Linked DNA regions of Struthio camelus. The protein of the gene in region 4 purifies or fractionates together with the protein of the main gene of each other region. This does not show direct contact. Links are inferred from orthologs where the notes say so. Each region holds a gene or a part of one and is shown on either strand. Other genes may lie near its edges.

Region 1 (7,139 bases), on a different chromosome or scaffold from region 4:
AGTCTCAAGGACAGATTTGCCAATATTCCAAAGAAGCCGGTCACCCTAGGTTTACGGGTGTAACAGCAAATACGGCATATGTGACACAAAGTGCAGTGATTTACCTGTTTACAGAGGTTTTTGGTTTTGTTATTTTTTAATTATAACAACAAAGGAGACTGCTTTGGGGTCCCATATCCAGTATTTCTGAATGTATAAACTTCTTCTACCCTCTTGCTTTCTCTAAGAACGATACAGAAATCCACAAAAAATGGAACTGTACTGCAGCATCATGGACAGGTTTTAAAGCCCTGGCTGTATGCTACTAAGGCAGCACAGAATCTTTAGGGATTGGTGGAAATTGGACTAAGATGTTGACGGGTTGACAGGTCCTTCACAACACTGACTCATTGCAACCTTTCCTGTAGAAGGCTAGTACCTTTACAAGAAGGGTAAATACTGTATTACTTAAGATTTCACAATGCCTCTAGTTGAGTCACCTGAGTGTCTAGCCTAAATAATCCTAACAATTAGATACAATTGGTAATAACACTAACAGAAGTCTAGAAATACAGCTTGTACTCAAGCCTTCTTGGAAGTTTTCAGTTGATGCATTACTATGTCAAATGATAAAGAATGAAAAAAAAAAGACTTTCATAAGATACTAATTTTTTTGATAAGGCTTCTTTTTTTTTCTCCACTTTCCATGTAAACAAAAAGTCACCAAATTGTTGAAGATTAATAAGCTGTGTTTAAGACATCTATAAGCGTGGATTCCTTGTTCTCACAAAAACATGCAAGATTGCGTGCTGCTTACCTGTTGCCTCAGGAACTGCTGGGAATTACCAGCATCCTCTATGTTCCTGTTAAGTCTTTCCTTCCTAGGACTCTGCTTTATAGCTTAATCGCTTTATGACCAGTGTTGGTTAACAGTTTTCTCTGATGAAACTATGGACAATGTTTTGCTTTGCTTAGCTAAGCCTCTGAACAGACAGTGATTATGAAAGCTTGTATCTTTCCATCCGTCTTGGTTATTCAGTCCCTACCACACTCTCATACTACAGTCTCAAGTCTCTTTCCACGTTCACATTCTGGCTAGTCTCAAAAACTCCTTACCTTTAAGGATGTCTGTCAGTAGGCGGAGAGGTAGGTGTAGAAACTCCTCTGTGTCTTGAAGTTGAGACAAATGTGACTTGGCACAGTGTTTGGCAGCTGTGTAGAGCTCCATGTCACTGTGTTGATCTGCTAACCACATGACCTGCAGACAGTTCCTAACCTGCACCGTACGGGCCAGAAAACGTGAGCATTCTTCAAAAAGGGCAGTCAATTGGTACATGTCTGCCACTTCATAGGTTTCTTGCAATTCCTCTGCCCTCAGCTTTACAGTCCCATGGTAAATGTAGTCCACAAGGAGCTGAAAGACACTCTCGCTAACATCCTGCAGCTCAATCACCCGGTTGTGGGCCTCCTTCAGGTTGGAAGTGAACATGGAACGAAAGAAGCAACTCTGAGCCGAGAGGACCAAACGGTGCAGCTGGAATTCTTTACCTTCCACTGATATTGTAACGTCAGCAAACAGCTCATCCTCCAAGCATAGTTTCATAATGCCCTGGGCCACGCGGCCTGAGTGGGAACGATCAGTGAAGGTGTAGTTCACAAAGTAGTTCTCTTCTGTGGAAGAGCCTCCAGTCTCTTCTGATGAGTCCATGGTGCTGCACAGATCAGACCTCCAGCAATCTGTAAAATCGCAATGGTTATAAGACCTTCTCCCTCCACTAACAAGATTATGCAGTAGTCCAGGGTACAGGGGAAAATCAAGGATATCGGTAAGAGGCCAGCGTACTTTAGACTGAATATAAATAGTGCTGCCAGAAACTTCTGCTTGAGCTTCAGAACGTCAAACAACTAAAACAAATGAGAAGCTGGCATGTTTAAAATTATGAAATATACCAAACTTCCAGTACAGTCCGCATCACATCCCAGCAGAATTAGAAGACATAGACATCTTTTCACCGCTCATCTCACTGATGCAAAGACGTGCCGCAACAGCTATTCAGGTGGAAAATCCAGCAACCACACTAGAAAAGTGGCAAAGCCAAGAGATTGCCGCAGTAGTACAGTTGTGCTAGATGGAAGAAAGAAGGATTACAGTATTGTACTAACAAAGAGCAGAGGCAGCAGTTCATATCATCAGCAGGAGCCAATTATCATCCAAAAACAGCATCATGAATTTTTGCAGTGGTATCAAGTACAGCAAGTTTGTTTTTACCAAAAAAAGAGGCATAAAAAGCCTACCAGACATCACCACCAGTCCTTCAAACTAACCAACTGAAAAGCCTACCAAGTAACTGATGGTCAGATGCAGTTTGCTAAGGTGCCAGACATCTTCAATACGCAAAACAACATGCTAGATGTTGTTAGCCACTGTTTCCCAAGTGGCAAGGAGAACTCAAATGGCAAGATGATACCTCTTAGTAGGAAACAGAGATTATTTGCAGAGCTCCTAACAGTTTGTTGGTAGAGAAAGAGGCTTATGACCCAAAGAAGAACTGCTGTAGAAAAGAGCTTTTCTTTAACATGGATCTTGACTGCATTAGAAGCAAATAGATGCCTACCTGCATTCACATTAAAAACTTATTTTTAACCTCAACCATTAGCCATAGTCACTGACAGCTCAAATTGCTTCAATTAATACTGAACATGACTTCTATGCAACATCACCCAGGGACAGGATTTTATCCTACAGATTTACCGTTACTCTTCCATGCTTTATTTTGTCAAGGGTGCACTTTCTTACCGTTGGTCCACGTGGTACAGGAGGGCTTCTAAATTTTTTACTAAAATTCCGTTCACGAGAGGTAGCTTCTGCATCCCTAATTGGCTGGACAGCTCTTTCCCAGCCCTGATGATTGCCTGCCTTAATTATGCACTTTTCCGCCAGGCTTTAACTATTATAGAATATCTATACGTTAAGCTGTAAGAGACTAAGAAATTGCCATCAGCGCAGAATATCTCAATACCATTTTTCCAGCAAAACATGTTTCTGCAAGCACAAGCCTGTCATCCACATTAGCTCCCACTTCAGTTCCTGCTCTTGATCCTTACATTCAAGGTACCCAAAAGCCAAAGCGCAAAACCCCTAAGCGACTGCCCAAGGACCAGGATAAGGATGAACTAACAACCTGCCCCCTTAGCACAGGGGAACCGTCTGCCCAGGGAGGCCTGCACAACTTCCAAGGGACTGAAGCCAAGCCACGAAAGAAATGCCAACAGCAGCTAAAGGCTACCGTAGATCTCGCGTCCCCCTTTGTAAACAAAAAGCCGTCCTTTTCGTCCATGATTTCTCCGCTATAAAGAAAGAGAAGTACAGGAACATTAAAAACGTCCCATGAAACAAAAGTTTACACTCCACACGTTCCTCGTGCTAGAGAAACAGTGAGCTGCAGTATGCCTGGGATTATGCAATGACCTAACTAATAGCCAGCACACCTACTTCTTTGCTTTCTCCTGAGGGGCTCACAGATGCCACGACAGCTAGTGGGGTCAAAGAAGTGAAATACAGAATTGCCAGCAACTTAGGGGAGGGGGGGGAAAAAAAAAAAAAAGGAAAGCTAGTTCTCGGGAAATCAGGGATTACCATTAAGGCCACTTTAAAGCTACGGAGAGACGCACAAAATCTAAAAACGCCCGAAGGTTAACTAGTCTCTAGAGCAGCGCTTTCACCGGGGGGATCCTTTAGGCTCCCGCCTCCTCACCCCTAGCAGCGAAGACATTTTGCAAACGTCGTTACCCGGCTTGGCCGCGGCGGCGCCGCCTCCTCGGCGGCCGGATTCACCCCGGCGCCGCGGCCGGGTCTGGCCCGGGCCCGGGCTGGGCTGACACCACCCCCCCCCCGCCGCCCCCCGGGCCCGGCCGGGCCGCCCCTCGGGCCCACGGCACCCACCTGCGGCGCCTCCCTTCATGCCGCCGCCCCGGAGCCTCCCGCCGCCGCCGCCGCCCCGGGGTGCCCGAGCGGCTCCCCGCGCCCCTCACCCTGCGCCAGGCGCCGCCAGGCACACTCGCCACTTCCGGCCACCGACCCGGAAAGGCGCCGGGTGCATCCGGCCGGCTGCGCCGCCTTCCGCTTCCGGCGTGTGCCCTTGCGCGTCCGTGCCGCGGGGGGATGTTGGCGGCGGCGGCGCGGGGGCTGGCGCGGGCCGCGCTCCGAGGTGAGGTGAGGGCGGGCGGGCGGGAGCTGCCGCCGCCGCCGGGCTCGGCCGCCCCTGCCCCGGGGGGCCGCCTGAGCCGCGTGTCTGTGTGTCCGCAGGTGGCGCCGGCCCGGCGGCGGCGGCGCAGGCCCGGGCGGCGGGGGGCTCCGCGGGCGAGACGCGCCGTAAGTAGCCGCCCGCGTGCCCCTCTGCGCCCTTTCTGGTCGCGCTGCCGGCTCCGCGCTCTCCGCAGTTGCTCCGGGGTCGCGGCTCGGTAGCCCCTCCGTGTCACGAGTCTGGCCTGGCGAGGAAAACAAGCAGACAAACATACAAGGTTGCCCAAGAGCAGTCCCGAGGTGTTTGGGGTGTGAGGAAGCTGCCTGGGTGCCTGCGCATCACAGGAAAACATGACCGTTGTGTTTGCAAAAACAGCCTGTTTCTAGATCCAGCCTGCGTATCGCGAGCGTTGTCTAAACTCAGGTTGTTGCAGCGTTTCTCTCTCTTTTTCATCCTGCTATTTTCTTTTGTCTTGTTGGACTGTTCACTCCTGCTGTATTTGCAGTGCACAAATAAAGCTTGTTTTCCTTCCCCCCCCCCCCCCCCGGAGGGAAAATGGTTGGTGGCCCCACGGCTTAGCATTGATGTGAATGTGCTGTTTACCACATATATTGATATAGTCTGATCTCTGTTCTAGTCCACTGTATATTCCACTATATATATGTTATATTTAGTTACGTTTAGTTGGAGATGGCCCGTAAATGAGCTTCGGGTGGCTACTCTTCTTTCTGTAGCTTACTCTGTTGTAACTTTGAGAACTTTGTTGTTCTCTTTAGCTACTGTCAGACTGAAAAATGAAGTAGAACAGAAGCAGCTATGTGCTTTTGGGGAGTACGTGGCTGAGATTCTGCCCAAGTATATCCAGCAAGTACAGGTAGGTGCTGTCCATGGAATTGCTCTTGGGAGAGGACAAATGAACGCGCTGTTTCTTTGTTAGATGTGAGAGGTTGTTTTGGGGAAGACAGATTGTCAGAACTAGATAAAAGCTACCGCTCTTGTTGAGTCTCTTTACTTGATGTCAAGTATGTGTCTGCTGTGCCACGTACACTCCTGGCTGAAGTGTCCTGCTGGATTCAATGCAGTGCTCAGTCACGTTAGTGTCTGTAATAATTCTCCTTCCACTGTTTTCTTTAGGTGACCTGTTTCAATGAACTGGAGCTTTTGATCCATCCAGAAGGGATCATTCCAGTTCTGACCTTTCTTCGAGATCATACCAACGCTCAGTTCAAATCCTTGGCTGACTTGACTGCTGTTGATGTTCCATCTCGACAGTATCGCTTTGAGGTAAGAATTGTTTGTAGGTACAGGACGCCGAAACGCGCACAAGTGCTGATGGTTTTGGATGCTGTTGCAGCTCTGACCACATTCTTTGCTTTCTGACAGGCAAACAAATCCACGCTGAAATGCTGGGTTTTGTTTAACCTATTGATTGTGGAAGCAGTACCGTAACTGATACTGCACTGACACGCTTAGTTAAATGGGTTTGTAGCCTGAATGGCTTTCCTTTTGTGCTCTACTGCAAGTTTCTTCTTTCTTTAAACACTTTTTCTGGCCAGGTATGAATTAGTACTCTTCTTTCTTCCACTTATGCCTGTCAGCTGTCATTGACAGAACCAGTCATGTTTTTCTTTAAATGCTACCAGTTTTCTCCCTAACAATTTTCTTTTTCTTTAAAAAAGATGTGTAAACCAGTAGAAGATACCTGGGGATCATGTGCTGTAGGAGGTTGGTTATGATTTAGGAGGAAGAGATGTCCTTTCCTTGCCCAGTTTGGGCAGGCTGTCTTTCAGGCGAGAGAAAAATCTGAGCAGCATGATGGTAGGCTTTTGGTTCCCAGCAAGTAACAAGGATGATGAAAAGTAGCTGATTTATTTCTCCTCCTGCATCTATTGTGTGATATTACATCACTTACCAATTGCTGCTCAGGAAACAAAGTAAAGGATGGCAGGTTTACCTTACCTGAATTACCTAATCAGAGGATGTCTGGGTTTTTTTGCCTTTTTTTTTTTCCCAAATATGGCTCTTTGCTTTGCTAATAACAGCTAACAGTTATTAGCTATTACATTAATAACATAACTAGTGTTAGGCTAAAATACCTGAGAGGTGAATAGTGTTTCATATCTCAGAGGCATACATTCTCTGAAGAAGCCAAAGATTCTTGAATTTGGGATTTTTCTTTCATAAATCAGAATAATAGAGTAATAGACATATACAACTTGATTAATTCACGTTTTCCAGCTACATGTATAAAGGCAGTCAAACATGCTATGTGATACCTTACACATGTTTTTTTTAACTCTGCTTGTTGTATGTTTTTTTTCTTCTACTGGTGGGTCTAATAATGCTCTTAAGCAGACTTTATCAGTATTTCATCACCACAATAGTTGAAATGTTCCCTGCTATCCAACTTCATTGCTGAAAATTGAGTGGATTTCCTCTTATCTTTCTCCTTCTGCGTGCTGAGTAATCGATAGCTATTTTCTTTGTGACGGATCAGTTCAGTGTTTTTTTTTTTTTTTTTTTTTTTTTAAGATAAGTATCCCTGTTTTTTTGAGCTCTTCTTTGTAAGTCATGTTTTCTGAATCTCTCTTCCTTTTTGTTACAATTCTAAGGACAAAACGGAGATAAGCTATTAGAGCCTCAGTTACAGAGTGTCTTTTAGTGCCCAGCTCTGAAGTGCTGATGTGATTTTGCTGGAAGAAAGTTATTTGAAATAGCCTACATGTCTCTCTGCTCAGCCAGTATTATATTGTGAAGAGATCTGTAAAGTCTGTACAAGACCAATGCTTTTTTTTCCTTTTCTTTCCATTTTGCTTCAGATTGTTTACAATCTCCTGTCTTTGCGGTTCAACAGTCGGATCCGTGTGAAGACATATACTGATGAGCTGACTCCTGTTGATTCGGCAGTGTCTGTGC
Region 2 (7,552 bases), on a different chromosome or scaffold from region 4:
ACTGAATGCTTGTAAAACTGATTTTAAAAAGGAACATCAATTAGAAATCTAATCCATTGTAAAAAGGAGTCAAATATAACTTCAAGTATTACATTTGCTCAGTTCTCTAGTTTATTCAGTGATTTTTGCCCTATGTCTTCTCCCCATGGTGACCCAGGAAAATAGGAAAAAACTAAGTCAAATACATTAAATAAAACTGAAGACAGAAAAAAACCCAGTTCTTCTTTATCCATTCACTATAAGTAAGTTTAAGTAACATAAGTAGTTAGTAGCACAAACAGTCTTACAAAAAAAATGTTTCTAAAAGATGGCACCTACATAGCTGGAAAGTAATATCCCCTACAACAAAATGACAAATTCACAGCAGCTAGACCCTAGTGCCATATGGACTGCAAGGACAGTCTCAGCTGATAGTCACAGACAATAATACATGTTATGCATCTGAAAATTCTTAAGTCCTGTAGCAATCATAGTACTTCCTTCTTCCATCCTGAGGGGCCTCTTGGATTACAAAAAGGCTTGCAAATAATGAAAATGACCACAACCATTAATACAAAAGATTGTATTTCAATTATTTTTTTGATAAAGCACTGAGAAATCTGAAAGTCTTTTCTTTGTTTTGCCCTGAGTCACTGCTGGTAGGAATGGCCATGCCACCCAGTTATTCTCTAGTTGATAATGGAGAGCCTTAATATTCAATGCTCTGTACAGAAGCTATTATATCTCCAGCTCATAAGATTAGCCTTGCTAGTTACTTGGGTTTTTTTTTTTTTTGCTATGCAATAAATCCAAAACCAATGCCAAATCAGTTCATCTTCTCAAAGATTTTAAGAAAGGAGTCGTCACTCAAGACAAATTATGGAAGTGTCATATTGGACCTCTGAACTTATTCATTCCCCTTAAGAACGTTTACGTTGCAAAATACACTCACTCCCCCCTTCACTCACAAAATCTTCTGAGCTTGGAAGTCCCATACAATTCTGTTACCACCGCTGTGGAACAGCGGTGGGATGTTCCTTTCCTGTTCTTTGATCCTCCCCCCCCCCCCCATTTCCTTTTTAAACTTCTCTATCTCTTTTTCTTGCAACATGAGCTGAGAGATGAAGCTTGCTTTCCACAGCATAGCATGCATCAGAAAGCTAGATCAATTATAATCAGTCTGCATCTTGGACCAGCTGTAGTGGTAGCACTGTACTATTTTCCAGAAACACTTGCAAAATGTCTTTTTGAGGTCTGTCACCTGATCATAATAAATCTAAGCTACGAGTAACAAGCCATATATTAGCCGACACTGTAAAAAGACTTGCAGCAAACCATGTTCTATTCTCATCCTATCTGTCAAATACCTTCCTTCACTCCAGACAGAGGTCAGTATTGTTGTTCTCCTTTTCCACGCTTGATCTTTTACAGGCTAAGCTATGCACTCTAGCCTAAAATTACATTGAAGGAAGTCATATTTTCTCCCTCACACTCAGCAAGAAAGGAGGCAAGCTTCTCAAAAAGAAAACACATGCACAATCTTCCATACCCTCCGCGCCGAGGGCGAACCATATAAAAGTTGTCCAGGAAGTTATCCCGGGAGGTTATCCAGCCCGTGTCTGAGCCCTGCCTAGACATTTCCCCAAAACACACACGACAGAAAGCAAAGTTCTCGAACAGCCGCACTCCTCACTCCTTCCCAGGCACGCTGCAGCCTGCCCCTGCTTCCCCTCGGCGCCGAGGGCGGCAAGTCACCGCCCAACCGCCCCCTCCCAACGGTCCCCCGGGCGGGGCCCTCGCGCCCAACCGCCCCCTCCCAACGGTCCCCCGGGGCGGGGCCCTCGCGCCCAACCGCCCCCTCCCAACGGTCCCCCCGGGCGGGGCCCTCGCGCCCAACCGCCCCCTCCCAACGGTCCCCCCGGGCGGGGCCCCAAATCCAACTCGCCCCCGCCCTCAGCTCGGGACGGACCACGAGCTCCCCGCTCGGTAACCGAGGGCTCCGCCGGGACGACGCGTCCGCTGGGGCGTCGCCGGGGACCGGCCTCACCTGCCGCCGGTCCGCCGCTTCCGGGCCCGCCGGGGAACGCGGCCGCGGCGCACGGGTTCCGGGCGGCCCGGGGCGGCCCGGCGGCGGCGGCGGCGGCGGCCTCCCCGGAGAGAGCGCCGCGCTCCCGTTCAGCACCAGCAACGGGCAGGGCGCGGAGACCCATACTTTTTAAGTGGCGTACTGCAGTGTCTTCAGACTTACTTTATCGCATTTTCCTCACGAATGCCAGTGGCTAGCTGAGCTTTGGAAATCCAAGCTCCTCCTACTTGCTTTTAATCACCACCCTCAGCCTGACAACCACCAAACTGCAATTAAAAGCTTTTACTTCCAGGGATTACAAACAGGCAGACACAAACATAATTATTAGCTCACTTATTTTGATGTCATCACCTATTAGGATAAACTCAAACACTACTTTTGCCCTGTACTGCTACGCTACGCATATGCTATCCTCCGCATGTGCTACACTTGCGCGTGTATTTTAAGTCAATGAAGGAAACTTTTTTGGATTTTGAACTGACAAATTTTAAAACATCCATCCTTAGTCATCTTAGCGGTATAGTTTCCAGCCTCTTACACTGCAGCTGTCCAGCCACCTTACAGCTCAGCTCCCTATTTTGCGTTTAAACTGCAGCTAACCTACAGTAGTTTACAGGCTAAGCTATAGCCTACAGGCTTCTTCACAACTAGCTAGAAGAACGGATTTAACACGCTTATAAAACGCAGCAAAAAAAACCTCCCCTCAGCCCGCACCGTGCAGGGGAATGCTCTGCGTTAAGCCCTTGTAAGAGCGACCTGCCCGGAATTTCTCCCCTCCTGTGAATTCAGAGAGCAGCTGTCTCGCCGCAGACGGCCACAAACCTTTCTAACCTGTAGCTAGTCTCGCCTGGGCCGTTGTAATTCCCCTTGACAGCCCAGGCCGCGCTTCAAGGAGCAACCACCCCTCCCGCTACCGCCGCGCACGCTCGCGGCCGCCCCCGCCCCGCCGGTGGGCGGGCCCCGCCCCAGGCCCCGCCCCCTTCCAGACCCCGCCCCTCCGGCACGTGCGCCCCGCCCCGCCCCGCGCCACCGCCCGCCACGGCGCGGCCCCTCCCCCGCGGGCGGGGCGGTGCGCTGCGCATGCTCGGTGCCCTTTGTGTCCCCGGCGGGCGGGCGGCGCGGGGCAGGCCGGGCCGCTCGCAGCGCCGCGCAGCGCCGCGCTGCGCTGAGCCGCGCCGCTCCGCTCCGCGCCCCTCTGCCCTCCTCCGCCCTCCTCCCTCCCCGCCGGCGGCGGCGGCGGGGGCCGGCTCCGCCATGGTGAAGAAGCGGAAAGGCCGCGTCCTCATCGACTCCGACACCGAGGACAGCGGCAGCGAGGAGAACCTGGACCAGGTGCGCGGCGCGGCGGGAGGCCCGGGCCTGGGCTCTCCGCCCCGCGGCGCCGCCATCCTCCCGCCGCCGGGGCGGCCGGGCCCGCGCCGCGCCGGCGGGATCGCGCCCCTTGGGTGTCCCGGGGCCGCCGGGGAGAGACCCGGCCCGGCCCGGCCTGGCCTGGCCTGCCCTGGCGGGGCTCGGCCCGCGGCGGCGGAGCGGGAGGCGCGGGCGGGGCGGCGCGGCGCGGCCCGCGGGGCTGGCGGGCCGCGGCGGGGCCGTGGGGCGATGCCGGCGGCCGCGCGGGAGCGGGCCCGGCTGCTGGCCCGCCGCCGTCGGGGAGCGGCGGGAGCGCGGCGCCGGCAACTTCCCTGTGCCGCCGCCGCCGCCCGCCGGGGCACCCGCGGGGGGAGCAGCGTGTCGGGTCCCGCCGCTGCCCGTCGGGGCGGTCGGGCTGCTGGGGCAGTCGTTGCTGCGTGCTGGGGGAGCGCCATCGGTGGGAGACTGCTCGAGGTTAGGAGCCTGCAGATGTAGCAAGGGGAAGCGTTTACTTATCATCAGGGCTTCTCCTGGGACTGGAAATACGGTGTCTGGCATCACTTTAGTCATGTCAGGGCTCCAAAGGGGGTGTCCCTGTCTTTGGAGGGGGCTTTTATCTTCCAAGTGTGGCAGTCATCCATGATGTGATATCAATGGTGAAGAAAGACACTATAGGTGAAGTATGTTGTGGGCCATCCAGCAGCGCTTGTCCTCTGAGGAGCTTTGGCTGGTTAAATGTACTGAAGCCTATGTATCTGACATAATTTATGTGCCGGACCTTAAAGGTTTTTAATATGGAAGATGTTGCTGTGTTGCAAAAACACAGACGCTTGAAAATAGTTTTGCTACTTGGAGCTTTAGGAAAGTCAAATTGGAGACTTTATTAGACAAATCTATTGGAATGGTGTATGCCCTCATCATGCTGATCTTACTACATCCCACTTCAGTCTCTAGGGCTGTCAGCTTTTTGCTGCTGGTACGTTAATTCTGTAGTTGCTTTAGAGCCTGAAAATTAGAGTCAGACTAGCCCTTGATTAGATCTGGGAAGGAGAACAATGATGGTAGGAATAGCTGCCTGGTTCTCCATCTCTTCCCATGTTCACTGAAAACATGCTTCTGCAGCTGTACCTGGATAGTAGGTTGTGGCATCAAAGCTGCCTGTCTATGCTTCCTCCTCCATGGTGTTGTTTGTAGCAACTATTGCAGCAGAGGCCTGCAGGTACAGGGATAAGAGATGTTTCTGTGCTGCAGTTTGACTAGGAGAGTATGCCAAGTGGGGTCCCTGCAGGTTAAATAGTTGACAGTTTTCTGTAGCCATCTTGTCCTGTTGAACCAAAGGAATAGGAGCCTTTTGAATACAGTGTCTTGAAAAACAGAAAGAACAAGAGTAGAAAGCAAACAAAGGAAAATTGTCTGGAATAAAAATAGTGGTAAATGTTCCCAGATATCATGCAGGCAGGTAATCTGGGCTGAAGGACTATTCAGAGGCAGTTGCAAGAGGGAAAGTCTAGAAGATAATTATAGAAAACATCAGGAGCTTCCTCAAGAGAGCTGTGCACTGTTGATGTTGTGTTGTCTTCAGGGGGAGATTTGTAAAATGCCATTACTAGTGGAAGATTTCTTTGTCGGTAAGTAGCCTAGGCCATTGGTTTCTGCAGTATTTATGTTCTCATTTGAGATGCTAAATTCTAATCCATAATGCTGTGGAGATAACCTTCCAGTTGTACAACTCATGTAAGCCAATCTAGTGTTGTCTTCCCAAGACTGCAGAAGTTGGTGTGGCTTCTGCTTGCAGCTCAGGTTCATCAGCCCCAGAGATAAATTTTCAAGAATATGGCATGTTTCACAGACTATGCAGACAGTAATGCAGCTTCAGAAACGTGTTGATTTTATGCTACTACTGCTGTCATCTGAAGAAGCAGCTGATGGGATTATTTGTGAGCCATTTAGTTCTTTGTGCTGCTATGTGTTGCCTTTGAGGGTGCTTTCTTTTGAAGGAAACAGGTTTATTTAGTTTGACAGACTTTGAGCTTGATGCCTGCTATGTGTATATCCAAAGCTTTAAGTGCATTCTCGGGTACTTAGGGGATGTTGAAAGAAATTCAGTAGACTAACTAAATGTATCTGCCATGACGTGAGAAACAAAGTATCTTTTAAAGTTTAAAGGGTGCTACAAACGTGTCAGGTTTTTTTTTTTTTTTAAAAAGATTTAGGGTGCTCGCACGAGACTCTTCAGAGTCTCATGCCTTTGGCTTTTTTAGGCTAAAAAAGCCTTTGGCTTTTTTATGTTAATGCTACACAGTGTAGCTAGGTTGTTCTTAATTTATTGCCCGCTCCAAACACTATAGCCCTGGACATGAATCTGAAGGTAACTTGTCATGATGTTCATCTCAAAAAAGTAATGACAGTAACACTTAGGTTTTGTTATCTTCAAAATCCTTTTCTAGCATTCATCTATATTAAAATTGTGTGTGTGTGTATATACACATATGTATACGCGCACGTAGATGTCTAAAAACATTTGTAGTCTTTGTTCCCTAGTCTGTGGGGATAATCGTGTTACTGAGACGTGCTCAAATATCACAGAGAAGGTGTATATGTGCTGACCCAAATTGGTAAACTAGTGACATCATTTTAAAATACGTTTTTATTTATTTATTTTTTACACTAGGAGCTCTTGTCATTGGCCAAACGGAAACGCAGTGACTCCGAAGAGAAGGAACCACCTGTGAGCAAACCTACAGCATCTTCAGACTCTGAGACATCAGATAGTGATGATGAGGTGAGTTTGTCTTGTTATCACTGAATTTACTATGGGTTACTTGTCTGAGCATACCTAAGCAGTGAAAGTATATTTAGCGTGCTGACTTCAGTGGAACTGATGGAGGCCCATTAAGCCCAGGGGGAGTGTACTCAGAAATACTTTTTTCTTTTAATTAACAAGCCAGAAATTATAACTGTGTACAAAATAGTCTGAATGTCTATAGCAGAGTTGATTGCCTGTTTAATCCCATATTCATGTTTAATCCCATGTTTTGAACGGTTTGGTGATCTTGCCTGCAACTAGTGTTGCTTCTGTGGCTGAAGATGCAGCAAAGTTGCTGAAGCTGGACCCTTAGCAGACAACCTCTCTCTCTTGAGCTTTAGAAGAGAGCTTCCTTCCTCAAAGGAGAGAAGGGCTAAGACAGGTGGTACTATTTTAGAGGCAATAAAACTGTCCTACTTAGAGCTCTTGGAGAATCAAAGTAGCTACTTTGAAGTAGCTTGTCTGATCATCCAAACGTGCAACAGAGTGTATTTTTATTGGTGTTTTTGAAGAAAGTGAGGAGAACAAGAATTTAGAATTACTTTGTTCTAGGGTTTTGTCCATTTGTTCTGTAGCAATGCTTAGCTGTTAGATATGTTTCTATTATGGGTTCTTGGTGTTAGGTTCTAGAGCTAGTTAAAAGTGCCTGCTTTCATCTATAAGTGAAAACTGAAATTGACTCGTTAAAACAGAGAACTGACAAATTGGTCACGTAGCTTCTTGAATAAAAATGTTTTCTTGAAGTGTTAGAGACATCTCTGTGAGCCTACCATGCAATACAGAGAGGTTGTTTATTCCATCCATTTTTAAAAATGTAACAAGGAAGTTTGTTTTGGTTTTCTTTGCCTTTTTCTCCTCTCTCCTCTTTCATCTGAAACTACAGGAAAGATTATTTTGTGGCAACTTGAAAACCAATAGTGCAGGTCAAAGATAAACTATGAAGTGCTAAGCTTTTGGGAGTTCTTCAGCACCTGTAAAGAATGTGACAGTATAGTTTTCTTACTGAGGGATATATGAAATAAATACTTTTGCAACTGTTTCAGTCAGCTTCTTAAAAAGAATAGCTGATGTTTTGTTACTACATTTAGTGACTTGTATCTAATACATACTTCATACATAAGGAGAGAGGAAGATATGAATGAGCTGGATATTAGGTGTGTTAACGGGTGACTGCTCGGTCTGTCACTTGGTGTGTTCTGATCTGCCAGCACGCAGCTTATTTTTAAGCTGCTTGGAGACCAACTTGTCTATAAATGTAGACTTAAGTGTGGAGAGCACCTTGATGATAGTCTTATGGCTTGTGTTTATCTCTGAAAACTGACAGAATAAAT
Region 3 (6,850 bases), on a different chromosome or scaffold from region 4:
CGAAAAACAGAAGAGTGAAAGTTGGTATACATATAAAACAAAACCATGGACTCTTGTAGGAACTGGAAGTTGGTTCTGACTGTGTCTTGTGTGTCTCTAGGGGACGCCAGTTCATCACTGAGCACTTGCAGATAGAGGATATCTCTTGCTACTGGGAGCATCTGCTGTCTGAGTATTCCCAAGCCTTGACTTACAAAGTGAAAAGGAAGAACAACTACAACGAGATTACTTCAGAACGACTGAAAACAGAACTGTAGAGACTTTGGTGGTTTTCTTTTCAGCTCAAACTGATCTCTGTGGAAATCTAAAGATCAGTGTACCTTCTTTCTTGTCCTCCTGGGCTTATTATCCTTTACACTAAAACTACAGAGAACAGCAATAGGCTAACTTTAAAAGTCTTCCCGTACAGTGGGACCCACTTAAACTGTTGCCATAAGACCATTAAGTAGACTGTTGGATAATGGGTACTTAATGGAGTGGTTATGCTGGTGCCTGGAATAGGGTAGTAAGCGTTTGGGACTTTGTTACTACCTGTCTTTGCCTCAGAATAATCCTAACTCCCATCCAGTCAATGCGGGACCTTTTCTGTTAATTTTACTGGACTTTTCATCAAGTCCTCTGTAATTGTGGACAAGGCGCAAAGACTGTGAGCCCTGCTCAGCTGGGAGATACGTGCCCATTTTTGGCAGATTGGCAGTGTTTTCTTACGTGTGTGATGGCATTTGGGACGTTATGCGTTCCCTGACAGAAGCAGTGACTAGGTTTTGGGGTAACCTTTTTAGATAGCTTAAGACTTAGTTTTCTTTTCGGAAGTTTATGTCAGGTTTCTAAAGCAAAGCTGTAATGGACAGTTAAAAGGACAAGTTCTCCTTGCACACATAAATTACCTACCTCATAGGGGATCCAGTGGTGGTGATGATGCTACCACAGTGCTAAATCTGAGTAGCAGACAATGGCAACTGACATAAAGACAGTCCGTCCTCTGACAGATGAGCTTATCTGGATGCACGCACAGCTATGCAAAACTGAGCCTCTGCTAACAGGCTCTCGCCAGTCCACTGGCCAGATGTCTTAGGACCCTTGGGAACCTAGGGAAAGTATTTGCAGGGATAGATTCAGTTCTTCTTTGTTCCAGATGTTCACAGCGTCTTTGTTCTGATCCCTTTCTATAATCTTTTCTAGTTCTTTTTTTGAGGCTGGTAGCTCCACTGCTTGCTTCAGCATTTGCTTTTCTTTCCCCCAGCTGTTAGATTCCTTTTCTTATCTCCTTCAGACTGGTTTAGGAAATGTCTTCAGTCACACAATGGCAGCTACTCCTCACATTATTCATTTTGAGTTCGGTCACAGGTTGCTTGTGCTGATTAACTGATTTATACCAACTAACGGCTGCTCAGCCCATAGTGAATAGAATTTTTAAAATGTTTTGTGGTCCCTGTGTCAAGAGGGGCCTGGTGGAGAGCAGCATGTTCTCTGGCACCCAGAGAAATTCAGTTCCTCCTGCTTGTAGCTTGCTCAATAACGTCAAAGCCTTGCATTAAAACATTATGTTTCCTAGTGGAAAAGAGCTAGGCATTGTGCTGCTTCCTGACCTGGCTGTCTAGGCCCCTTTAGCTGTTGAGCCGTTTGCCCATATGCTTTGGGATCACTGCTCCTTCTTGTGCCACAGATTGTCTGCATCAGCGGGGTCAGTGACCAGTGGCCTAAGCATGTCTTTTGGGCATGCACCTGTCAGTCGGGCACAGTTCTTAGCAGAGTCCTCCCTAAGCCTTCAGAGGCCTGACTGCAGAGAAGCAACTGCTAAGACTAGCCTGAAACAGAGCAGTGTAAGCTGCAGTGTGGGATCCCGTGAGGCGTCTGCATCCCAAGTGGGCGCCCTTGCTTATAAAGGGGCCTCATGTCTTAGGAAGTTGCACATTAATGGAAGGGAAGAGCGAATGCTAGCAACAGCTCATAATCTTCTCCACAGTCAGTTTGGATCAGAGAAGAAGAAAATGTTCCAAAGAAAAGTAACGCTAAGTAAACATACACATGCATGCGCTGACGAGGCCTTAGCAGCACTGCCAAGCTCTGGTACAGGGAAATAACTGTCAGACATATTAGTCAAACTCCAGTTGCTGGAGCAACATACCAGTTTCAGGACCACTGTCTGGGTTATCCCAGTGTACAAAGAAAACAAATTAGGGTATTAAAACAGTTTGTTTTCTGAGGGGAAAAAACTGTAAGAGTGGAAGGGGTTTTCTGGTTTTGCATTTTTAGTCAACAAAGAGCAACCTGAGAAATTGAAACGACTATGTAGAATATTTTAAACCATTTTTAATGAAGGGCTTTTGGATTAAAAACAAAAAAGTGTTGTTGGATACATCATTTTTTAATCTGAAGAATAATTTTGTTGTAATAAAGATCTGGACAACCACCAGCTGTTTCATCTAAGAAGTTGAAATGTGTCTTTGCTTTTTCTCTTTGATGGTAACATTTAGGGTGTCTCAGTGGAGTGGATGAAAGAGAGAGCTCTTCCCACCTAAGTCTCTCCTTAAAGTCTAGCTAACGGTGGCTAAAAACTTTCCACTGGTTGTTCAATAGCCCGTGTGAATCGGTACATACTTTTCAGTCTACTTCCTTTTTCACATTACTAAGACAGCCATAATTAATAGGGCTCTCAGCTGCCGGTCTTGGCAGATGGGACAATGCCTGAACGGGCAGCGAGATCGCTTGGAGAGGTGGTGAGCCCTTCCTCACAAGTAGGATTTAGATAAAGGATGGAGTGGTATGTGAAAGCTGTTCTGCAAGTATGGTATTTGTACTGCTGTAGTTCTAGAGACTAAAACTCAGTTCTGATTTAACCACTGCACACACAGAAAATAAAAATCTGTAACCTCCCATCTAGTTAGCATGTAAAAAACAAACGGATAAAAACGAGACCAGGCAAGGAGGACCAAAAGCAGGAGGCTGATAATGGATATGCTTGGCAGAGGTCTCAGCATGCCAGCTGACTAACTTTTTTGCATCATTAAATAGAAGAGTTGGATAGATGATCTGGAGAACAGGGACCGTGGCGCAAAGGCAACCCCAGGCACCTGAGTAGGTGCTCCAGGTGCACACAGGCAGCAGCTCGGAGAAAGCAGTGAGGTGCTCCTTGGAGAGCAGCCGCCTCAGCCCTGCGGCTGCACCGCTAGCAGAAAGTTTCTGGTAGCCCGAGGCATGGCAGACGAAGCGGAGGGGAGGCCCTGGCAGCAGATCCTGTTTTCATTATGAAAGATACCACACTTACTTCATGTGGTAGAAAACAGGATGGCAACGAAGGGATTAAAGGAAGAGATGGTGAAGGAAATCAGTCAACAAAACCCGTTCTCGAAGCAGGATTTTGAATGAGCAAGTGGGTCGAGACCTCTGAATGCAGGGTATCAACGTTTTTCATTCAAAGTGTAAAGGAAAAAACGTGCCTTAAGCTGCCCTGGGACTGGTGTGAGCTGCAGCTCAGGGTGCAGGAAAGCACTAACCACTGCCTCTGTGGTGCCTGCGGTAGTTCTGGGTACTGCGTGGCTCAGGTTTCCCCGGAACTGCCCTCTTTTATTTTCAGAAAGAAACAACAGGCCTGAGGGTTTCGTTGCTTTCTTTTCCCCCTCCGCACATAACCTTTAATCTTGCCGACCCGCACAGCGACCCGCGGTAGGCGGAGAGGCTGCGGTGGGCGCCTAGGGCCCCAGCAGCCGGCTCGCCCTGCCTCCGCCGCGGCAGGGCGCCGCCAAGCCGGATTTAGCCCTTTGGCTCTCCTCAGCGATCTTCACAGCTTACACGTTACAACCGCGAGGGCCCGCAGCCCCGTGTGCCGCGCCCCGCCGCGGGGCAGGGGGCGCTGCTGCCGCCAACTGCCGCCAACCGCCGCCAACCGCCGCCGCGGGGGGGACGGGCATGGCGGAGGGGCTCGGCCGCCCCGCGCCGCCGCCGCAGAGGGGCTGGGAGCGGCTCCGCGAGCTCTGGCAGCGCGAGTGAGGGCCGCGCCGCGCCGCGCCGCGCCGGGGGGGCGGGGGGAGGAGAAGGGGGGGCGGCCGTTGCGGCCCTCCTGTGGGCGCGGGGCTGCTTTATTAAGGGGTTTGCGAAGGCGTTTTCGGGGTGCGCGTCCGGGCGGAGAGGCGGTTTGAGCGGACGGATTTTGGGGAGGGAGGGAGGGGAGCGCTAAGGTTAGCGCCGCGGCCTGTGACCCCCTCCCCATCCCCCTTCCCCGGCCTTTCTTTGCAGCGAGCGGCAGCAGTTCCCGGAAGAGACGGTGAACATTATCAAATCGGCGTTTTCGGGGGGCGTCATTGGCTGGGTGTACGGCGGGCTGCCCGCCTTCCGCCACGCCAGGAAGGAGTTCATCGCCCGCAGCCACGGCGAGCTCTTCCAGAACCGCGTCGACGCCGTGGTAGGGGCAGAGCTGGCGCCGCTCGTCCCCCCCCCCCCCTCTCCCCGGGCACGGGGTTCGCCCCTAAAACCACCCACCCCGCGGGGAGGGACCGCGCTGGGGCAGCGGCTGAGGCTGCGGCTGGGGAAGCGTCGGGTGTTGTCCTCCTCTCCGGGGGAGGGAAACCTGCCTCGAAGACGCCGTTTGAAAGCCCTGAGTGGGCTTTAGCTGGGCCCCCTGAGGAGGAGGGTGCCCTGGAGGGGGGGAAAAAAACCAAAACAAAACGAAATCAGGTTTTTATTCCAGCTTGGTTTGCCTCTCTCACACCCAGATCTACAAAGACAGCTAGGAAACATCCGTTTAGAGAAGGAATATGGTGGTACTAGACTGACTGGGAAATGCGAGCGTGTCTGCAGAGAGACGCCCCTGTGTAGCTAGCTTGGGTTTTCAACAGTTAGCCTGTGGAGCCTGTGTTCACGCGGTGCCACCCTCCCAAAATGAGCCGCTCCTCAGGAGCGAGGGGAGAGCTGAGCGGATGAGCATCGGGCTGCCGGCCACGTACCTGTTGGTTCTTGACCGGGTGACGCTTTCGGGATTCCCAGTGTTAGGCCGCAGAGATAAAACATGAATGTAAAAGTCGGAAAATATAAAGGTCTCAGTTGTCAGGGTTCGATGGTTTTGTTTTGTTTTCAAACTGGGCTTCACTTACTGGCTGCGGCCATTGTAAGGTCAAAGCACTGTATGATGTACCTCATTAATAAGATCAGAGTGAAGAGGGAGGGGGTAATTTCCATTGAAAATGAGATTTTAAGGTTTTTTTTTTTTTTTTTTGAACCTGCTCTTCCAAGGAAACGAGCAGCATGTGATTGCAGTTCACTCTATCTGCTTTGAGCTACGTTCAACCCTGAACCAACAACACTGCATTGCTCTGGGCAATTTCATTCTGATTTGACAGGGGCTAGAGGTTTCACAAATAATTATATTCCTACAGTGTCATGAAAGTAGACATCTTGTTGTGATTTGGAAGTGCCCTAGTAGAGAGGAAGGCTGCACTGCAAGCATGCAGAGACAAGGCACCTTGTAAATGCTGCAGCTGTGCAAAAAGTTTCCGTTGGGACCTGCAGTTTGTGATGAGATGTAAGCCAGTAGGAGACCAGGCTTCTGGTGCTGATGAACTTGTTTAATAAGATGCACAAAACACAAGGGTGAGTGCATGCTTAATTTTGAAACCCAGTTACAATAATGGGCAAAATACCAAAGTGTTTGCTTTATGTGTGTAAATACGTATAGTCTGTGTAATCACCTGTTGTGTTGTGAAAATTAGCTATTCAGTTATACCCAAATTCTACGTTTAACTTAAATTGTCCTTAATTATAGGAAAATTTGGTAACAATATTTACATTCTATTAAATGACTAGTTAAATAACTTCTCTTGAAAAACCTTTTGGCTTTTAAATTTTAGCGTGATGGTGGCTGACCACTCTGTAGTGTCAAATTATCAGTCTCCTCTTAACTTACTGATGTTTTTTGTTTTATATGCCTGTTTAAAATATAATTCTTAAAGCCTATCACTGCACCTCACCATGAAGAACACTTCTGATGTTTCATAGAGGTATTTGGACTTTTGGGGGTTTGTTCTTCAATTAAAGTGTTAGTAGCCTGGATTATTAGAAACAAAAAACTTATGCCTGGTTTTACATCATTCATTATTTAGATATGGCTCCTGACTCAGCTGTTGGCGAAGTATCGGTATCTGGCTTCACTCTCTCCTTCTACTGACTTTTCTTTTGTTTTGGCACCCAGGCTAAGCCCTTATACCACAGGCACTGGGAGAGAGAATTTGGTTATTTTCAATAGTATTAACTGGAATATTCTTTTAATTTTTATGAAACTTCTTTTTATTGCATCTTTTAAAAAGCCTATTTTATAGCCAGACTTTCAAATACCAGTGCTAAACTGCAGAGTTTGAGGGTGTCTTTGATGGGTTACTGATGTGTTTAATACATATCAACTAATAATAATTACGGGCTAGTTTTCAGTTTGTCCCTCCTTTCTTCTCCTCTTTTATGTTATTCTATTACAGCGTAAAAAGTGCTTCCTTAGAAAGCTATCACTGTCCTACCAACTGTGCTCAGCACCATGATTAGGAAGACCAGTTGATGTTGCAACTGAAATTAATTTTTGGTTTTCCTGTTGATGGCCTGGGGAGGAGCATGAGCTGCTTTTCCTTTCAAGACAATCAACTCTGTCCTTAAGGGTCAGGGTTTCGTTCCCAACATTTTGAGGGACATCAAGCCCCATAGCCATTGTGAATACTCCGTATCATCCTCTTCAGAATACAGTGGACTTGTGCTGGCTGAAACGTAGCAGGTCTGAGATCTGTAACCTTTCTTCTCTCTTACTCTAGCAATCAGCTCACCGTGCCGGTCTCAGGAGCTTCATCCGCTATGGCTGGCGCTGGAGTTGGAG
Region 4 (7,159 bases):
TAATACTGGGTACTGATTCGTGGTGGGGGCATCATACTACAAATTGGTATCCTCCTTCTGGTATCACTGTAGCCCATTCTCTCTCTCCTTCCCTTTTTTCATATTTACATCTTATTTTTGTAACTAGCAGACAGCCCCTCTTTTGCTCTGCCTGCAGCACAAGCTTTGTTGGACAAAAAAAAAAAAAAGCTATTTTGCAGCTCCATAGGCAATTTAATTCCCATGATTACTGCAGTGCTCACATACCCAAAGTCCCAAGTCCTTTCACATTTCATTTTCTAAGTCATTTTCAAACCAGCTCTGCCTTCCTCATATTCCTTTTTACTAGGACTTTACCAGTGAATGACACTGCAGAAAAGATACAGTGAAGAACTTCAAGCTCAAGAAACACTACTTTTAAAATTATCATAGCCTATGGCCACTGATTAGCCCACAGACACTTTGTATTAACGCATAAGCTAAAAAGATTCTAAAGCATCCGTGCTGTTTCTAAATTACAAAGAACATTTGCTAATGTGTTATCAAATTTCCCTTCCCTAAGCCATCCTAAAATTACACTGAGATAACAACAAATTCTTAACGTCTTAATAAAATAAGCCAGCTCTGGATATCTGCTACTTCAGAACTGAGAGTATGTTTTTCCCCTTAATATAGACAGACATGTGGAGGTGTATGCATACATATGTATACATACACACACAAGGCATACAGATTAATAGCAGGAAAGGAAGAAATAAGCTGCTGGATGAAGTTTTGCCAGTAAGCCTCACTGCTAACGCATTTTTCATACTTTTCCTAACAATTTTAAGTAGATACATTACAAGAGCAAGTCTTGCAAGCACACCAGCCACCTCAGACTAGGCTCTCAGACTTAGTCAAGTACTAAGACACCTATTCTGCTTTTGGCTTTTCCTCAAATCTCTCTGAACAGCCTGACAAAGGGAAGCGTTTGAAGATAGTGAAATTAAGCCAAAGATATTGAAATCTTTAGCGCTTCAAGGTTAGAGTCTTAATCTCTTTACGAAAATAATGGATAGAGATTACTTGGATACTTCAGAGAGAAACTGCAGAAATCCATTTCTAGTTTAAGATGTTTTTAAATCTTGAATGGAAGGCACCATAAAAGCAGTAAATCAGAGAGACTTATGAATTTTATTGCTGGATGTTCAAATAACTTTTATTACCACATGAAGGAGCGGGAATAAAATGATCCAGTAACGCAAGAGGTAAAAAAGCACAAGATGTAGCACAATGAGGTGGAAGAGAGGAGACTGAACCCGAGCCTAGACATTACCGGAAGGGCTATGCCTTGCCTTCCAAGTCAAAGACTGAAGCCATTAATGATGAGGAAACTGATCAAAAAACAATCCCAAAGGTTATACAGAAAAACCTAACTAAAGCACGACCTCAGTCACATAAGGAAAAGGCTCTGCGTAGTTTGACATGAACATTTCACTGGAGTATTTTTTTTTTTTAAACTACTGATACTATTGTTCTCATCCTCTACCATACCCATGCTTTTATATTAATCTCAGTCTCCTTCCTTCTAGCAAGTCTGCAAAATCTTGTGCATTTTTCCAAAAGACTGGCCAATTATCCTTGTGGCTTTGAGGAAGCAGGAGTACTAACTTAGGTGAAAAAAACCCAAAAATAATCACTGTGAGGTTAAAGACTACTAAGAATTTAAAAGTTACATTACCATAATCTGTCACATGTTCAAGACCACTCAGCATCAAACACAGTCAGTGCTACTGATATATAGAAGGGCAATGAAAACATCAGTTTTACCTATAAAAAATGGTAGTTTTTAGGCACTAAGAGAGTATTTTTCTTGAAAAATCTGCCCACTAGGTAGGATTTGTGTTGAGACTAAAAACCACAAAGCTGATGCTCGTATGCTTCCTACAGCGAGACATACTCACCTGCACAGGTGGACCTCTAGATTCAACATAAACATCTTTTAGCAAAGTGAGGAGCCTATCATCCTTTCTGTAAATTTCTTCCTGTATTTCTGGATGGTCTAAAGGCAGAGGGGAGAAGGAAAAAAAAAAAAGAGAGAGAGAGAGAGAAGAAAGATCCGAGTCATAAAATTGTTTCATTTTCATTACTTCTGTCAGCCTTATCACTTCCCCAGAGCCATCACAATACACAGAGCCTCAATATACACAGTGTTTCTCAGGCAGATTTCAGTTCTGCGTTAGTTCTAACATTAACAGTACTGTTTTACACCGAGAAACAGGGGTGCTGCCATAACTCCTGGCGCTAAACAGCACGATAAAACCCCCCTCGTTTGTAACCCGTACGACGGCCTCACTTCACTCCAGACACGCGCGCTACTCCCCAGCGGCCCGCGAAGCGGACCAGCGATTCACGACATCCGCGAAACGAGCCTGAGCCGGCCCAGGCGAGCGGGGCGAAGGGCAACGCCAGCCGTTTGCCGCCCAACCGCCGCTCAACCGCCCCCCGCGCGGCGCGGCGCAGCCCCGCACCGCTGGGGCCGCCCCTAGCAACCGCTGCTAGCAACCGCCCCGCCCAACCGCCGCCGCCACAGCGGCTCCCGGCGTGCCCCGCGCGCGGCCGCTCCGTTTTCAATGTCACCCGCCGCCGGGCCCGGCTCTTCCCGCCGCCGGCCAGCCGCGGGCTGCCCGCTCGCCATCGCCGTGCTTCCTAGCGCCTTATCAACGCAACCCTCCCTCCGCGCCGCCCGCCGTCCCCTCGAGGCCGCAGCGCGGCTCCGCTCCGCCGGACCGGTGCTCGCTGCCCGCCGCGGGCAGTCCTGCCTGCCGGGACTCACCAGCCAGCGCGTCCAGCCGCGCGGTGGGGTGCCGCGGCGCGGGCGTGGGCTTCTCCTTGCTGATCTCGCGGCGGGCGCGGCTTTCCACGTTGAAGGTGCGGAACACGCGACTCACCCGCCCGCCCATCACCGCCGCAGCCACCCGCACCGCACCGCACCGCGCCTGCGCAACTCGGCGGCAGCGGCCAGGGGCGGGGTGAAGCGGGGTGCGCCGGTCGCGCATGCGCACCGGGTTGGGCGCCGCGCCGCCGGACGGGAGGGGGAGGCCGGGGCCGCTCTGCCGTTCCCGCCTTGGGGAGGCGCGGCAGGAGCGTGGCTGTGCCTCGGTTTCCCCATGTAAGAGTCCAGTGGTGCGTGGCGAGGTACTGAGGCAAAGTGTGAATCACAAGCAGGGTGAATCGCTTTTTATTTCACGGTGTGACTCGACCGTTTTTCTCCTCTGCCGCGCGCGTTATCGCTGTGGCGTCGGCGCTCGCAGGTGCGTGGGCCTCGGTGGTCAAGATGGCTGACGCGCCGGCGTGGCGCAGGTAGCTCTGCCCTGCTCAGGGCGGGCGGGCGGCGCGCCGGCGGCGCTTTTCACCCTACCGGCGTACTTAAGTGCACAAATTCGTCCTTAAAACTGGCCGGTAGCCCACACAGAGAACATGCTTTCCCTATGGTGCTGTGTGCGTACGTTGTTGTGCTTTTAAAATCTCCGTTACTCTTTTGAAAGAGTGATGTTCCCTCATTGCTGCAAGAACGGAGATGCGTTACTGTTTCTTTTGAGGAGAAAATCGCACTTTTCTTTCAGGAACTCGTACGTGTGCATAAAAAGTGCAATTCTAATGCTCTCATGCAACAGCGACATATATCTTAAGGTATCTTTCGTCTTTTGGGAAGAACATCTTCCTGTTGTAGGCATTCATGGGCATGACTGGTCTGGTGTAACTCAGTGGGGTTTATTATATAACTAATATTACTGATGTACATAGGATTTTTTTTTTTTAATACATTGATCACCAAAACTTAAAGCAAATATTCAGTATAAGGAGAACCAATGCTGCATGATTTCTTTTGGGGTAAAGTTGGCAACATCCTCAAGGTGGCAGGCTAGTCTAGGGTTTCCGTGCTTGGTGTTGTAATCGTCGATGCAGCTGTGTCAGCATTTTGGTAAAAGACATATGAATTGCTGCTTTATAGATGATTTTTAGATATGTTACTTTATAAGTGTATTCACTTGATTTATATGCAGGGTTATTACCTGTGCACATCCTAAACCTCAAGAGAATTGTTAGGAGAAGGTAGTGTAATCCAGACAATGAAAATACGGATCAGGCAAATACATGTCATCTGCACCAACAAGCTGTAGTTTATGATGTAAAAGCTTATAAACGGACTGAGTGGCCCTGATAGCACGAATAAGAGGGCCATTCAATGTATAAAATATTATCTGCACCTTTTTTCCTTTTTCACATTTTAGCCTCCAACATACAGTGTCATCATGTGACACCACATATACTGCCGAATGATGAATCCTCATGTAGAAAGGGTATTATCTCAACTTTCTTTTCTGACTGTTATCAACTAGTATGCCAATTTAAAATATCTTACATGTTTTCTCTTTGGAGTTTTTACTTGAATAATGATAATGTGGAAATATTTAAGGATGTTTTTCATCTTACTATTACTCTGTCATTAGTGTGTGTAGCATTTCCTTACTAGCACATAGTTGCTTTATTCAGTGACAGAAAATTAATTTTCTACGCAGATATAGTCTAGAACGTATACCCTACACGGCAATTTGGAGAACAAATCCTTTGTATCATTCAGAGTTTGTGAGCTATGATATGCTGTTAAGCTATGGTCTTGATTAGGGTGTAACCTTTCTTTTTTAGCTTTCTGTGATCCAAGGCGTAGCTTTGATGCAGCCCAGCTGAATCACCTCAACCTTGACTTCTGAGAAAATTGCTAAACTGTGAAAAACAGCTGTGAGAAAGTACTTAGTCCTGAGTAACATAAGAAAGGTAAAATTGCAGACAAAGGTAAATTTTTGAGATAGAGCCAGCAGCTTCAGGATTCAAGAGAGGAAGAATATAACTATGAAAAGTTATAAAGTTCCGAGAGAGCAAAAGGGAATGAGAAACAGCAACACTACGGATTAGTGTTACATGAAGCAGTAAAGGCTGACCCCTCTCTGTCTGACCGATGACTGCCTGGCAAACACAGACTGAGAGGGTAGCTTACCAAAGGAGGTAAGCGTATTACTGACTTTTTAATCCTAGCTATTGTTTGTCTTAGCCTATACACAATTGCTTTGTACTTTTGAGTTGTTTATATCCTGTTTGCAGACTTTCTTCATGCATGGTAATAGTTGCCTGAATCAAGTAACTAAGAGTCAGTGCTATGAAGGCTAGTTAAAAGGTCCAATGTCTGTGTTCCTTTCTAGGAGGAAGACACCTATTTTCTGTCCTGGCATCCATCTAGTTTTGTTATCACTGTGTGCATGCAAAATCTGGATGCCTGTTAGTAGTGTAAGTAGCAGCGTTACTATTAGTAATAATGGTGATGATGCAGTAGCTATTAAGGCCACAGTGTGCTGGAATACTGCATAATGAATGACAGCTTTTGCTTAAAGGGAATTCAGAAGACAAAGCAGGTGGATGAAGAAAACAAATAGATCCACAAAGGCAATGAGGGCAAGGCAGCATAAGGTTGATCTGTACTTCCTCTGCGCCTTCTTCGAGAGTTCTGAAGGGGCAATTTTTTCACTTCCACGTTTTGAAGACTCTCATTGTCTATAGGGGAAGGATAGAAGCATCTCTTTAAATTCTACTCTCTGTTTATAAACTCACCCTATAACCAACCTGATCCTATTTTAGGCATTGTATGTGTACTGATAATAGGAATGTGGAACCCGCTATGAGATTTTATATCGCAAATCAGGCTGATGGCGTGTCTAATTAAATATCAGTAGTCAATTAGTGGCTGATTTTTGCCTATGTTCTGGAGCATGGGGTTTGATATTTTACTGGTGGGTAGCCTATCCGGTGTTGTGAAGGTAAATGTAATGGTAAAATTCACATGGATGCTTTTTCTTGGTGGCTGTAGACCTTTGATGTGTACTTTAGTATTTCTCTAAGACATGTTCTTACTCTTCTGTCTGTGCATGCAAGCATTGCTACAAATTTGGAAATAAAGATGCTGCTCCTTCAAAAGCTAAGAATTGTTGGCTTTCAGGATCAAACCCAGCACAGTGATTCTGTCTCTGTAAAGCCAGAATGTGACTAACACTGCTGTAATATTTACTGACAGCAAAATAAATTCACCAGAAGACAGACAGTTAAAAATAGTGATGTCATTCTCTGCCTGTCTCTTCCTATCACTGAGGATGGCACAAAGCTGTCCTTATTATGTATAAGGAAGGATCAGAAGTGCAAGATTTTTATTCTGGAGTTATAATATTTCCTCTTTCATTTAGACTGTAGCAGCAGCAGAATTGGGATTTTAAAAAATTGTTTGATCATTCAGCATTTTATCAATATAACCATATTGATGATATTAAGTAGCAGTAACCAAAAGCCTGGGATCCTTTTCTATCACGTGTCTATAAGTGTATGTTCTTAAAAAAACTGACCATATAGTTCCTCAAAGCATAAAAACTGTATGTATGTATGAATTTTTCCAGGGAACTTAAAAATAACAAAACACAGGAAAGGAACAACACAGAATATTCAACTCAATTCATTTATACCAGCAACCTGTTTTCAACAGCAGACAGTGTCAAACATTTCAGAGATAAATACTGGAACTGGCATCATATATATGTGCCATAGGCTGCCTCCTTTCCCACATCCGAGGGAGACATTTCTTAAAACTGTTCTGCACTTGGAGAATAAAAATAAATTTGCAAACATTCTTGAAGCCTTTCTGTCAGTTTTTCATGCCAGTTCTGATATTAATTTGTGGGGTTTTGTTTGTTTTTTCATTCTTGACAGGTTCTATAGCTGAATGAAAAATAGGTCCAAAATTAATTTTATTAGTTAATTAACATCAAAAAAGGCTGACTGATCTGTTGCAGATTCTCTTTGTGTAAGGGACAAAGGGGATGTCTGACCTTTAACTTGATTTATTGTGAGATGCTACCAAGGTTTCTCTGCCTTCTTTACTACTCAGAAAAGCAGGAATCAGAATATTAGTCTAGAGGAAAAGTAATCTTGGTGAAATAAGAATCTCTTTTAGTAATGGATGCTCAATTTGACAGTTTTTGAGAGGAGGCAGATGATGTTCACTACGTCATTTTATAGTCTTCAGAAGTTCCAGTGTTTAAGGCAGAGGAAAATTTGAATCCCTTATACTGTAGTGACATAGTTTAATATTTGATTCTCT

What was found.
Region 1: the proteins of NDUFAF4 (region 4) and NDUFS3 purify together in Homo sapiens (affinity purification with mass spectrometry; 3 studies listed by BioGRID and IntAct, counting the BioPlex papers as one, with this or other methods). This does not show direct contact. The link is inferred for Struthio camelus from reciprocal best matches to the Homo sapiens genes NDUFAF4 and NDUFS3.
Region 2: the proteins of NDUFAF4 (region 4) and NDUFAF1 purify together in Homo sapiens (co-immunoprecipitation; 3 studies listed by BioGRID and IntAct, with this or other methods). This does not show direct contact. The link is inferred for Struthio camelus from reciprocal best matches to the Homo sapiens genes NDUFAF4 and NDUFAF1.
Region 3: the proteins of NDUFAF4 (region 4) and TIMMDC1 purify together in Homo sapiens (affinity purification with mass spectrometry; 3 studies listed by BioGRID and IntAct, with this or other methods). This does not show direct contact. The link is inferred for Struthio camelus from reciprocal best matches to the Homo sapiens genes NDUFAF4 and TIMMDC1.

What each region holds. Positions count from the first base shown.
Region 1 is NC_090946.1:39,014,595-39,021,733, reverse strand, and holds the start of NDUFS3 (NADH dehydrogenase [ubiquinone] iron-sulfur protein 3, mitochondrial), read left to right. Parts: upstream 1-4,118; 5' UTR 4,119-4,141; coding exon 4,142-4,187; intron 4,188-4,285; coding exon 4,286-4,351; intron 4,352-4,999; coding exon 5,000-5,097; intron 5,098-5,357; coding exon 5,358-5,507; intron 5,508-7,042; coding exon 7,043-7,139. Other genes in the region: KBTBD4 (kelch repeat and BTB domain-containing protein 4), read right to left, coding at 1,096-1,716, 3,923-3,941.
Region 2 is NC_090946.1:41,250,042-41,257,593, forward strand, and holds the start of NDUFAF1 (complex I intermediate-associated protein 30, mitochondrial), read right to left. Parts: upstream 3,011-7,552; 5' UTR 2,888-3,010; intron 2,332-2,887; exon of another isoform or gene 2,228-2,331; intron 2,104-2,227; exon of another isoform or gene 1,949-2,103; intron 1,610-1,948; exon of another isoform or gene 1,347-1,609; intron 1-1,346. Other genes in the region: RNA polymerase-associated protein RTF1 homolog, read left to right, coding at 3,146-3,397, 6,087-6,197. UniProt on the Homo sapiens protein: As part of the MCIA complex, involved in the assembly of the mitochondrial complex I.
Region 3 is NC_090942.1:106,494,772-106,501,621, reverse strand, and holds the start of TIMMDC1 (complex I assembly factor TIMMDC1, mitochondrial), read left to right. Parts: upstream 1-3,840; 5' UTR 3,841-3,909; coding exon 3,910-3,986; intron 3,987-4,236; coding exon 4,237-4,402; intron 4,403-6,788; coding exon 6,789-6,850. Other genes in the region: POGLUT1 (protein O-glucosyltransferase 1), read left to right, coding at 101-257.
Region 4 is NC_090944.1:53,380,006-53,387,164, forward strand, and holds the start of NDUFAF4 (NADH dehydrogenase [ubiquinone] 1 alpha subcomplex assembly factor 4), read right to left. Parts: upstream 3,022-7,159; 5' UTR 3,018-3,021; coding exon 2,795-3,017; intron 2,021-2,794; coding exon 1,923-2,020; intron 1-1,922. UniProt on the Homo sapiens protein: Involved in the assembly of mitochondrial NADH:ubiquinone oxidoreductase complex (complex I). May be involved in cell proliferation and survival of hormone-dependent tumor cells. May be a regulator of breast tumor cell invasion.